Anolis sagrei: one gene and its partners. Each later gene encodes a partner of the first gene's protein in a complex. Links are inferred from orthologs where the notes say so. Each region holds a gene or a part of one and is shown in the gene's direction. Other genes may lie near its edges.

Region 1 (3,751 bases):
TCAATCAAGGCATCACATTCTCAGTGTTTATATTTAATCGACACAGAATGTCCTTCCAAATGGAAAGTTGAGGAGGAGGCAAAGACAAGTCATCCAGCACATTCATTACTCATTGCTTGTTAGACTGTTGATCACTCTCCCATTGTGGAACCCAAACATTTGGGATAAAGGAGACTCTGGGTGCATCTACACTGTAGAATTAATGCAGTTTGACACCCCTTTAAGACCTTGTAGATCTACAACCCCCATTATTTCATTGCATTTGAGCCCTGCCAGTTAAAGTGCTGTTGAACTGCGTTTATGCTACAGTGTAGATGCATCCTCAACCTGCATTTAACAGCCACATCAAGAAGATGATGTCTCCTTCTTAGGAAAAAACAACACTCAGGGTGCCAACAGAATAGCCAATCAGGAGGCGCTCTCAAGGGAAAGGGGCGGGGCTTGGTTTCATCTCATCCAGAAATTCCTGCTTCCAAGCTATCGCACACACCTTGCCGTAAGCTCCGCCCCCAGGCGGTTCCTCCCGCCCATTTCTGAAAAAAAAGCAATGGGCGGCTCCCGCCTGCTGATTGGACATCACCCTCGGCTCGTGCCTCTAAGGGGTGTGGTCTACGCTGTGAAGCCCCGCCCTTGGCAACGCTTCTCGTTTCCTTAGCAACGGACTGCTCTGCGGCCTAGACTGCCAGGTGGGCGAATGAAACCTGAGGGGACACCTGTTTCGAGGGTGGGGGGGACCAGGAAAGAGGGGCCTGGGACGTTCAGGCCAGTGAAATGTCGAGTCTTGGGTCCCTACAGGGAAAGAGTGGAGGATGCAATAGAATTCAGAGAAGGACCTCAAGGACCTTTCCCACCACAGCTGCTTCAGCTGAGTGGGAGAAAGGAAAGGGGCTGGGGCTGTTAGGAATGCTGGGAGTTGAAGTCCAAAACACACGGAGGGCCCAAGTTTGCCCATGCCTGATCTATACTGTAATGGATGCAGTTTAGGCCGTCTTAACAGCCATAACCGGGATTATGGCGCAGCTGGCTGAGTGTCAGCTGCATTAAGATCACTCTGACCAAAAGGTCATGAGTGGGTTTCCAACCAATTGTGTGTAGCCTGTTGTCGACCTTTGCAACCTGAAAGACAGTTGGGGAGGCTAAATTAACTGATTTATGAGGCCATAAAGAAGACTCCAGCAAAGCATTCCAGCGGGGAAGCATGCAGGAATGCGGAGGTGCTTCATCAGCGTCGCAGATGGACGATGAAAGCGACAGCTCCCCTGGCGGCCAGAAAAAGTTAAATAGCCTCTGTATGTCTGTATATGTTTGTATGTCAAAAATTGGCATTGCATGTTTGCCATATATGTGTACACTGTAATCTGCCCTGAGTCCCCTGCAGGGTGAGAAGGGTGGAATATAAAAGCTGTAAATAAATAAATAAATAAATGACACATTGCTATAGAATTACGGGAGCTGTAGCGTACTGATGATTGACCAAACTAAAACTCCCATGATCCCTTAGCATTGAGCCATACTGGGGTCAAATTACATTAATGTAAATCCTGTGGCTGTCTCCTGCAGAAGCTTGTAGTTTAGAGAGGGGCCTTTAAAATGCCCGGCCAGCGAGGTCCTGGGCCCCACTGATCTACAAACCCCGAAATGAAGAGTGTTGTTTTTTGGGGGGTTTTTTTGTGAAATAGAAATTCATTTTTTTCCATTTTATTTCTGCCCCCGGAACTAAATTTTCTGCTAAAGAAGTAATGTCTGTGGATCACATCTACTTTGCTAACTGAAGTGTGCCTGCAATAACTGCAGAATGCAGTTAGGTTTTCATGATCAGCCAGGTAAACCAGCAGCAAGTTTTCTCACACTGAGTCCGCAGACTATTAGATTATCTATTTCTCTGGTAAAGTAAAGGTAAAGGTTTCCCTGGACATTAAGTCTAGTCATGTCAGACTCCAGAGAGTGGTGCTCATCTCCATTTCTAAGCCTAAGAGCCAGCGTTGTCCGTAGATTCCTCCAAGGTCATGTGGCTGACACGACTGCATGGAGTGCTGTTGCCTTCCCGCAGAAGCAGTACCTATTGAGCTACTCATATTTATATGTTTTCAGACTGTTAGGTTGACAGAGGCAGGGAGCTCACCCTGCTCCCCGGATTCAAACCGCCAACCTTTCAGTCAGTAAGTTCCACAGCTCAATAGTTTAATCCACTGCATCACCAGGGGGCCCTTTGTCTCTGTAGGCAGCAATAAATTAGGTAATGCTTCCACATACTGTGGTTTTTTTCTGAGCTATATTTTGTATAGTCTTGAACCTTTTCTTTTTGAGGAGCCTATTTATCCTTAAACACTTCAGTTTAGGCCAACTTTTCATTTTCAGTTTTCTTTTTTAAAAATCAGTAAATGTTGCTGTTAAGAAACATGATATTCATCTCTCCATTTCAGTTGTGATTTATATATGTTGTTGCAGCTTCTTGATTGTATATTAGTACACTCTCTTTTAATGGAAATCTATGTGAGTATGCTACTGAGATTGTGTTTGTTTCTGTATATTACAACTCACTTGAAAACTGATGTGAAATAACTATTCTCCCTAAACTATCTTGCTCCCATTAGAAAATATGGTTATATTCATTCCTAGGCCCTATCTACACTTTGAAACTATAGCATATTGTAGAGGAATGTAGAGAAGACTTATATAATACCGTTTAAATGCATTATATGGGTCTATACAAATTCTATAATGCAGTTTCAAACTGCATTATAAGGCATTGTAGATGGGGCCTAAAGAATGTGAAAGCAATATAATTTGAGCACACATAATCTGCAAAACTCCAAAATTGTCCTCATGGGTGGCTAAGGTAGTGACATTTTTTTTTTTTTTTTTTTTTTGCTTTCTAATGGTTTACTGTCCAAACTTTGTTTCATGGGCATTGTTTTTTATATTGCATAAAATTGCCTTCAGGCTATGTGTATATGGTGTGCATGAAACATAGATGAATTTTCTGATAAGACTTGGGACTCATCTCCAAGATAACTCATTATGTACATACAGGCAGGCCTGTAGCGAGGGGGGCGGTTTAGGGGTTCAATCCCCCCCCCAAATGTTTCAGATTTTTTTAAAAACCTGGTTTACTCATGAATTTTAACTGGTTAACCAAATCCCATTGCTAAGTCTATGAAATACAAAAAATTAAGAGTCCCTCCAGAACTATCTCAAGCAAATATTGACAATTTATTCACACTGTCATTACTTGCAGCAATAGCCGATGTAGTGAAGCAACCAAATTGTGGTTTGTGTGTTGAATGCTCTCATTAAGGAGGCCAGACTTGGTGGAGATGGTTGACAGGGACGGAGCTGCAGGCTATTGAAGGCTGCTCTGGCCCCTGCTGTATTCTTTGCTTCAGCGTGAGCTAGGAGGCAGGTTGCAACCCCCCCCCCCGCACGAAAATTTGAAACCCCCCTTGCAAAAATGTCAACCCCCCCCCCTGAAAATTTCACCCCTCCCCGTGAAAATTTGAAAACCCCCCCCGTGAAAATTTCAACCCCCCCCCCCCCCCCGTGAAAATTTCAACCCCTCCCGAAATTTTTTTCTGGCTACGGCCCTGCATACAGGTATTCCAAAATCCAAAACAATTGTGGTCCCAAGCATTTCTGATAAAGGATATCCAACCTTTAGTGCATTTCTTATCAGCAGATTTCTGAAAGCATGACAATTTAACTAAAGTTCTGAATGTTGAAAAGCAACTAACAAATGAAACCAATGAGCTAA
Region 2 (3,751 bases), about 6.8 Mb from region 1:
GTGGTTTGAGTGTTGGACTAGGACACTGGGATACCTTCCACACAGCTGAATAAAATCCCACATTTTCTACTTTGAACTGGCATATATGGCAGTATGGACTCAGACGATCCAGTTCAAAGCGGATTTTGTGGGATTTTCTGCCTTGATATTCTGGGTTATAGGGCTGTGTGGAAGGGCCCTCAGGCTACTTCTGCACTGTCATATAATCCACATTTTCAAAGCAGATAATTTCACATGCTCTGCTTTGAACTGGATTATACTGGAGTCTACGCTGCCGTATAATCCAGAGCAGATAATCTGGATAGCCCCCGGTGGCGCAGTGGGTTAAACCCCTGTGCCGGCAGGACTGAAGACCGACAGGTTGCAGGTTCTAATCCGGGGAGAGGTAAATGAGCTCCCTCTATCAGCTCCAGCTCCTCATGCGGGGACATGAGAGAAGCCTCCCAGAAGGATGATAAAAGCATCAAATCATCCAGGCGTCCCCTGGGCAACGTCCTTGCAGACGGCCAATTCTCTTACACCAGAAGAGACTTGCAGTTTCTCAAGTTGCTCCTGACACGACAAAAAGAAAGAAAGAAAATAATAATCTGGATTATTATATGGCAATGGAAAAGGGGTCAGAGGGCCCTTCCACACAGCCCTATATCCCAGAATATCAAGGCAGAAATTCCCACAATATCTGCTTTGAACATGGTTATCTGAGTGAGTCCACACTCAGACAATGTGGGATTTTCTGCCTTGATACTCAGGGATATAGGGCTGTGTGGATGGGCCCTTAAGAGACCAGGGTTCAGATCCTTCCTTGGTCATGGAAGCCCATTGAGTAACTTTGGGCAAGTCACATTCTCTCAGCCTCAGAGTCACAATCCCTCTGTCCCATATGTAAAAAAATGTTGCAAGCTTGGAAGGACAAAACATAGACATAACAATATATCTATTTTAAAATGAATAAAAACACATAAAGCAGGGGGTCACTGTATCCCAGGCCTGGGCAAACTTGGGCTTTCCCTCCAGGTGTTTTGGACTTCAACTCCCATCATTCCTAACAGCTTCAGGTCCTTTTCTTTTCCCCCTCAGCCGCTTAAGCGGCTGAGGGGGAAAAGAAAGGGACCTGAAGCTGTTAGGAATGATGGGAGTTGAAGTCCAAAACACTTGGAGGGAAAGCCCAAGTTTGCCCAGGCCTGTTGTATCTAAAAGAAAGAAGGAGCCTTCGTTTCCAAAGAGAGGCCTACTCGGAAGAAAAAGGCGGGAAACCCCTCCTTCCCCAGTTTCTGCCCTCAGGAGCAGCAAGGCCCAAAGCGCGCCTTTGCGTTGCCATGGCGACCCCTGAAGCGGCGAGGGCATGGCGGCCGAGGAGAAAGAAGCCACCGCCGCGGGTAAGCAGCCTTTTTGGTCTTGTAAGCCCGGCTCAAACAAGGATAAGATGGCACGGAGAGGAGAGGAAGACCAGGGGAAGGCAACACGGGCCTAGTTATCGCCCACTCCCCGCCGCCGCCCTCTTTCTCCTCGCAACGGGCCTTCTGCTTCTTTGAACATGGCATGGCTTCCCTCCTCCTCTGAATGGCGGCCTCTGTCGCAGGCTCCCTGCCTTCCTTCCTTCCTCACGCGACTCCCCTGCAGGCACAATACGTAGCCGCTCCCTCAGGAAGGAAAAGGGTTTTAAGACATCATATTGGCTAACCATGCAATTACAGTTCTATTATGTGATGGAATAAGAGTGATTCCACTCTTCATGGCATGCAGGAAAGAATAGGGGGTACTTTCTGATAGGCACTTAGGAAATACATTGAAAGGTGAGCAGATCATGTATATGTATTGTTATTACAATATGGCACAATATTTAAAACAGAATAATATTTGTTTGGCTATTTCTTCATAAAAGTAGACAATTTATTGTTGAAGACTGTCATGGCTGGAATCACTGGGTTGTTGTAGGTTTTTCGGGCTATATGGCTATGTTCTAGAAGCATTCTCTCCTGACATTTCGCCTGCATGTATGGCAAGCATCCTCAGAGGTTGTGCAGGTCCAATTCCGAGCACAATTCAAACTGCTGGTTTTGACCTATAAAGCTCTATATGGCTTACCTGTCTTAATGTACTCGCCTGTGGAACTCACTCCCCAGCGAAATCAGGTCAACAAGAACCCTCCTTGCCTTAAGGAAAAAATTGAAAATGTGATTATGGGGCCAGGCCTTTGGGTACTCAAGCCCTATACGACTCTGGCCCAGCTTACCTGTCCGAACGTATCTCCCTCTGCGTCCCACCTCGAAGTTTAAGATCTTCTGGGGAGGCTCTGCTCTCGGCCCCGCCTTTGGTGCAAACACGCTTGGCGGGGATGAGGGACAGGGTCTTCTCGGTGACGGCCCCCCACCTGTTGAAGTTGTTCCCGAGCGAAATCAGGTCAATAACATCCCTCCTCGTCTTCAGGAGGAAATTGAAAATGTGGTTATGGGACCAGGCCTTTGGGTACTCAAGCCCTATACGACTCTGGCCCAGCTTACCTGTCCGAACGTATCTCCCTCTATGCCCCACCTCAGAGTTTAAGATCTTCTGGGGAAGCCCTGTTCTCGGCCCCGCCTTTGTCGCAAACACACTTGGCGGGGATGAGGGACAGGGCCTTTTCGGTGATGGCCCCCCACCTGTGGAACTCGCTCCCGAGCGAAATCAGGTCAGTAACATCCCTCCTCGCCTTCAGGAAGAAATTGAAAATGTGGTTATGGGACCAGGCCTTTGGGTAGCTGGCAGATAATTGACAATGGTAATGATGATGATGATAAAAACTTTATTTATACCCTGCCCAAGGGGACTCGGGGCGGCTTCCATGAGGCCAAGCCCAACCACACATCAGTTAAACAACAACGCAGTAAGCAAATAAAACAATACAATTAATATAACTCACATATAAGCAATAACACACAAAATTTGAAACCTTATGGCTGAGCCAGATGTAATAAATTAATTTTTTAAAAATAAATACTGGGGGTTTTATTTTCTCGTGTCAGGGCAGCCAGTCAATTATATTACATTTCTAACAGAACAAAGCAAACATATAAACAGAGAAAATACAAAATGTGTGAGTTTGGTAGTTGATTAAATGTCCTTTGACCAGTATCTGGCCACTTGGAGTGCTTCTGGTGTTGCTGCAAGAAGGTCCTCCGTTGTGCATGTGGCTGGGCTCAGGTTGCATTGCAGCAGGTGGTCAGTGGTTTGCTCCTCTCTGCACTCGCATGTCGAGGATTCCACTTTGTAGCCCCATTTCTGAAGGTTGGCTCTGCATCTTGTGGTGCCAGAACGCAGTCTGTTCAGCACCTTCTAAGTCGCCTAGTCCTCTGTGTGCCCAGAGGGGTGAACAGAGGTAGGATGTATCTAAGCAGGAGGGTTTTAAAAGATTTGGGAAACCTCATTTGCTCAGAGGCGTCTGCCTGCAAGGTAGGGTGCATCTACACCAGGCCTGGGAAAAATTCGGCCCTCCGGGTGTTTTGGACTTCAATTCCCACAATTCCTAACAGACGGTGAAGGTGGATGTGCCAGGCTCTTCTGCATTTGCACCCCCGGTTTTAACGCACTGTGCTAAAATACTGAAAATGCTAGAAGAAAGGCCTATCATTTTCAGCTGAACCAACAGAAAGGAAAGGTTTCACTATCTGTGGACAGTTTTGGATTGCGGAATATTTCAAGAATTATGAATCAAGGATGCTCAACTCCTGCTATGATATTTAAGGTCAACTCTTTAACCTAGAAGGCCCCTAGA
Region 3 (3,751 bases), on another chromosome or scaffold:
CACACAGGACTCCCATGACCAACAGAAACACTAGAAGGGTTTAGTGGGCATTGACCTTGAGTTTGGGAGTTGTAGTTCACCTACATCCAGAGAGCACTGTGGACTCAAACAATGATGGATCTGGACCAAACTTGGTACGAATATTCCATATGCCCAAATATGAACACAGATGGGGTTTGGGGGAAATAGACTTTGATATTTGGAAATTGTCGCTACTGGGATTTATAGTTCACTTACAATCAAAGCACATTCTGAATCCCACCAGCGATAGAATTGGGCTAAACTTCCCACACAGAACCCCCATGAGCAACAGAAAATACTTAAGGCCATCCAGTCCAACTCTCTTCACTAGGGCAAGAAAATGTAATCAAAGCCCTCCTGACAAAGAGTCATCCAGCCATAGATATAGATAGATAGATAGATAGATAGATAGACAGATATAGATATGATTCACACACAGAGAGAAATAGTATCATAGATTTGAAAGGGACCCTTAAAGCCAAGGTGGGCAAACCAGACACTCTCCACATCAACACTGACAAAAAACAGCAGAAATACTGTATACCCACAAGCATAAAGGAATTACATATATTAGAAACCAATACTTTCTCATTACTTTATTTTCCAGATCAACAGACTGGGCCACAGCAACGCGTAGCAGGGGACAGCTAGTCAATAATAATAAAGAAACCTAATCCATATAGACCCATTACCAAGAAAAAGAAGAAAAGAAAGAAATATCTACTGGAAATGTTTATATGAAGAGAGATAAACCCTCCCAAGCTTCCCCCCTTCTCAACCCCCTTTTTTATTGTCAATCACTAATAAAAATGTATATATATATAAAAAAGACATTACATATATTAGAAACCAACACTTTCTCGTTACTTTCTCATCACTAGACTGGGCCACAGCAACGCGTGGCAGGGGACAGCTAGTCCCCAACATAAAAAGGTTAGTGTGAATGGCGCTGCCACATTCTTTCCTCCTCCTTTCCTCCTTTTGAATACTTCTGGTGTCTGGCAGTTTGAGTGGCAGGCGAGGGCGAGTGGGCCGGCGCGCGCTGACCACCCGGGGCTTGGCTCGAGGGCACGTGCAGCCCGGTTGCTAGGCGACCGCCAAACGGTCACCTCAGGGGGCCAGGCCGGGAGGAGGACCCCCTCCTCTCCTCTCCGTGGGGCCATGGCTACGTTTCAAGGCGTGGGCCCCGAACTCAGGGCCTACTTCAAGAAACACTCCATCCCTGACATCTATGAGGTAAAAGGGCCGCCTGGGGAAATTGGAGAGGGATGAAACCAGGTCTAACACGTTGTCAGGGAAGGCCTCCCTTTTTTTGCTGTGCTGGCCTAGTAGGCATGCATTCTTATGATCCACCTCCATCCCGCTAGGCCAGAGAGTCGCAAGGAGAGTTTCCTTACCAGTCACACCTTCAGTACTGTATTTGTGTGGCATTGTTTTGGAACTGAACTAATATCTTGAAGAGCTTTTAAAATTGAATTTAGAATAATAGAATCCTAGAGTTGGAAGAGACCTCATGGGCCCAGAGGCGGCCCTAGGTAATTTTTAATAGTAAGCAAACAGTATCCCCCGACAACCAATCACTGATATATATTTTCTGTTTGTTGTGGGAGTTCTGTGTGCCATATTTGGTTCTATTCCATCATTGGTGGAGTTCAGAATGCTCTTTGATTGTAGGTGAACTATATATCCCAGTAACTACAACTCGCATATGTCAAGGTCTATCAACTATACTACTGCAACGCACTCTACGTGGGGTTGCCCTTGAAGACTGTTTGGAAACTTCAACTGGTCCAGCGAGCGGCAGCCAGATTACTCACCGGAGCGTCATACAGGGAGCACACCACCCCCCTGTTGTGTCAGCTCCACTGGCTGCCGGTTCAATTCCGAGCACAATTCAAGGTGCTGGTTTTGACCTACAAAACCCTATACTAGTGTTTCTCAACCTGGGGGTCGGGACCCCTGGGTGGGGGTCACGATGGAGTGTTAGAGGGGTCGCCAAAGACCACCAAGATGCACTGCTGCTCATGGGAGTTCTGTGTGGGAAGTCTGGCCCAATTCTATCGTCGGTGGGGTTCAGAATGCTCTCTGATTGTAGGTAAACTATAAATTCCAGCAATTACAACTCCTAAATGTCAAGGTCTATTTCCCCCAAACTCCCAGCAGTGTTCACATTTGGGCATATTGAGTATTCATGCCAAGTTTAGTCCAGATCTATCATTGTTTGAGTCCACAGTGCTTTCTGGAGATATGTGAACTACAACTCAAGGCCAATGCTCACCTAACGCTTTCATTATTTTTTGCTGGTCATGGGTGTTCTGTGTGCCAAGTTTGGGTCAATTTCATCTCTGGTGGAACTCAGAAAGTTCTTTGATTGTACGTGAACTGTAAATCCCAGCAACTATAACTCCCAAGGTCCAGAGAATGAAAATACATCCTGCCTATCAGATATTTACATGACGATTCATAACAGTAGCAAAATTCCAGTTATGAAGTAGCAACGAAAATAATTTTAGGGTTGGGGGTCACCACAACATGAGGAACTATATAAAGGGGTTGCGGCGTTAGGAAGGTTGAGAACCACTGCCCTATTCTGGTCCAGTGTATCTGTCCGAACGCATCTCCCTCTATGTCCCACCCCGGAGTTTGAGATCATCTGGAGAGGCCCTGCTTTCGACCCCACCGCTATCACAAGTGAGGTTGGTGGGGACGGGGAGCAGGGCTTTCTCAGTGGTGGCCCCTCACCTGTGGAACTCACTCCCGGGGGAAATTAGGTCATCAACATCCCTCCTCTCCTTCAGGAGGAAAGTAAAGACGTGGTTGTGGGACCAGGCCTTTGGGCAATCTGACAACTAGATAAGGACAATCAGACGACTAGGACTGACAGGACTGACAAAGTGGAATTGGAAATTAGACTATGAGATGGTGAACGCTGACCGTTAATGAGGAGTAATGGGTTTGTATTGGTTTTATTGGTTTTATTGTTGTAATGCAGGAACTGTTGTTTAACTGTTAATTGCTGCTATATTGTTTTACTACTGTTACGTGATGCCGGCATCGAATTGTGCGTTTGTAAGTTGCCCTGAGTCCCCTCCAGGGTGAGAAGGGCGGGGTAGAAGTAATCGAAATAATAAATACTGCAAATGCTTACTTTGCGTAATGGGTTGAGCCTCCCCTGCATGGGCCATCCAGTCCAACCCCCTGCCAAGAAGCAGGAAAATTGCATTTAGATGGCCATCCAGCCTCTGTTTAAAAGCTTCCAAAGAAGGAGCCTCTACCAGGACCGTAGCCAGAAAAAAAATTTCGGGGAGGGTTGAAACCTTTTTTAGCAAATCATGAAGAGTAGTTCGAGGGAGAGGGCCTTCTCGGTAGTGGCCCCCCGACTCTGGAACTCACTTCCCAAGGACATCAGACATGCCCTAACTCTGACAGTCTTTACTTACTTACTTACTTAGGCGATCCCTCGTTGGCCGAGAAGGATAGTCTTCCAGGATCAGAATTCTTGTGTCTGTAGGTGGCTGTGGAGCCCTATTCTTGATCTGCATCTTCTTCCACAGTGAGGGCAGATGTGTAGCCAAGGGGGGGGGGGGCTTGAGGGGCTTCAGCCCCCCCCCCCCCGGAAATTCTCATGGTGGTTCACGAAAAGGCCTTACTGGTGCATTATTTAAACTGTTATGTTTATTCATATCATGATCTGATCACCATACTCAATATATTCCATATGCTTGGGGGT

What was found.
Region 2: TCTE1 (region 1) and EFCAB2 share a complex: the UniProt entries of both Homo sapiens proteins name them as parts of the nexin-dynein regulatory complex. The link is inferred for Anolis sagrei from reciprocal best matches to the Homo sapiens genes DRC5 and DRC8.
Region 3: TCTE1 (region 1) and FBXL13 share a complex: the UniProt entries of both Homo sapiens proteins name them as parts of the nexin-dynein regulatory complex. The link is inferred for Anolis sagrei from reciprocal best matches to the Homo sapiens genes DRC5 and FBXL13.

The regions. Positions count from the first base shown.
Region 1 is NC_090021.1:48,126,120-48,129,870, forward strand, and holds the start of TCTE1 (dynein regulatory complex subunit 5), read left to right. Parts: upstream 1-1,022; 5' UTR 1,023-1,289; intron 1,290-3,751. UniProt on the Homo sapiens protein: Component of the nexin-dynein regulatory complex (N-DRC) a key regulator of ciliary/flagellar motility which maintains the alignment and integrity of the distal axoneme and regulates microtubule sliding in motile axonemes.
Region 2 is NC_090021.1:54,904,049-54,907,799, reverse strand, and holds the start of EFCAB2 (dynein regulatory complex protein 8), read left to right. Parts: upstream 1-1,310; 5' UTR 1,311-1,342; coding exon 1,343-1,376; intron 1,377-3,751. UniProt on the Homo sapiens protein: Component of the nexin-dynein regulatory complex (N-DRC), a key regulator of ciliary/flagellar motility which maintains the alignment and integrity of the distal axoneme and regulates microtubule sliding in motile axonemes.
Region 3 is NC_090025.1:85,412,368-85,416,118, forward strand, and holds the start of FBXL13 (F-box and leucine-rich repeat protein 13), read left to right. Parts: upstream 1-1,122; 5' UTR 1,123-1,182; coding exon 1,183-1,257; intron 1,258-3,751. UniProt on the Homo sapiens protein: Substrate-recognition component of the SCF (SKP1-CUL1-F-box protein)-type E3 ubiquitin ligase complex.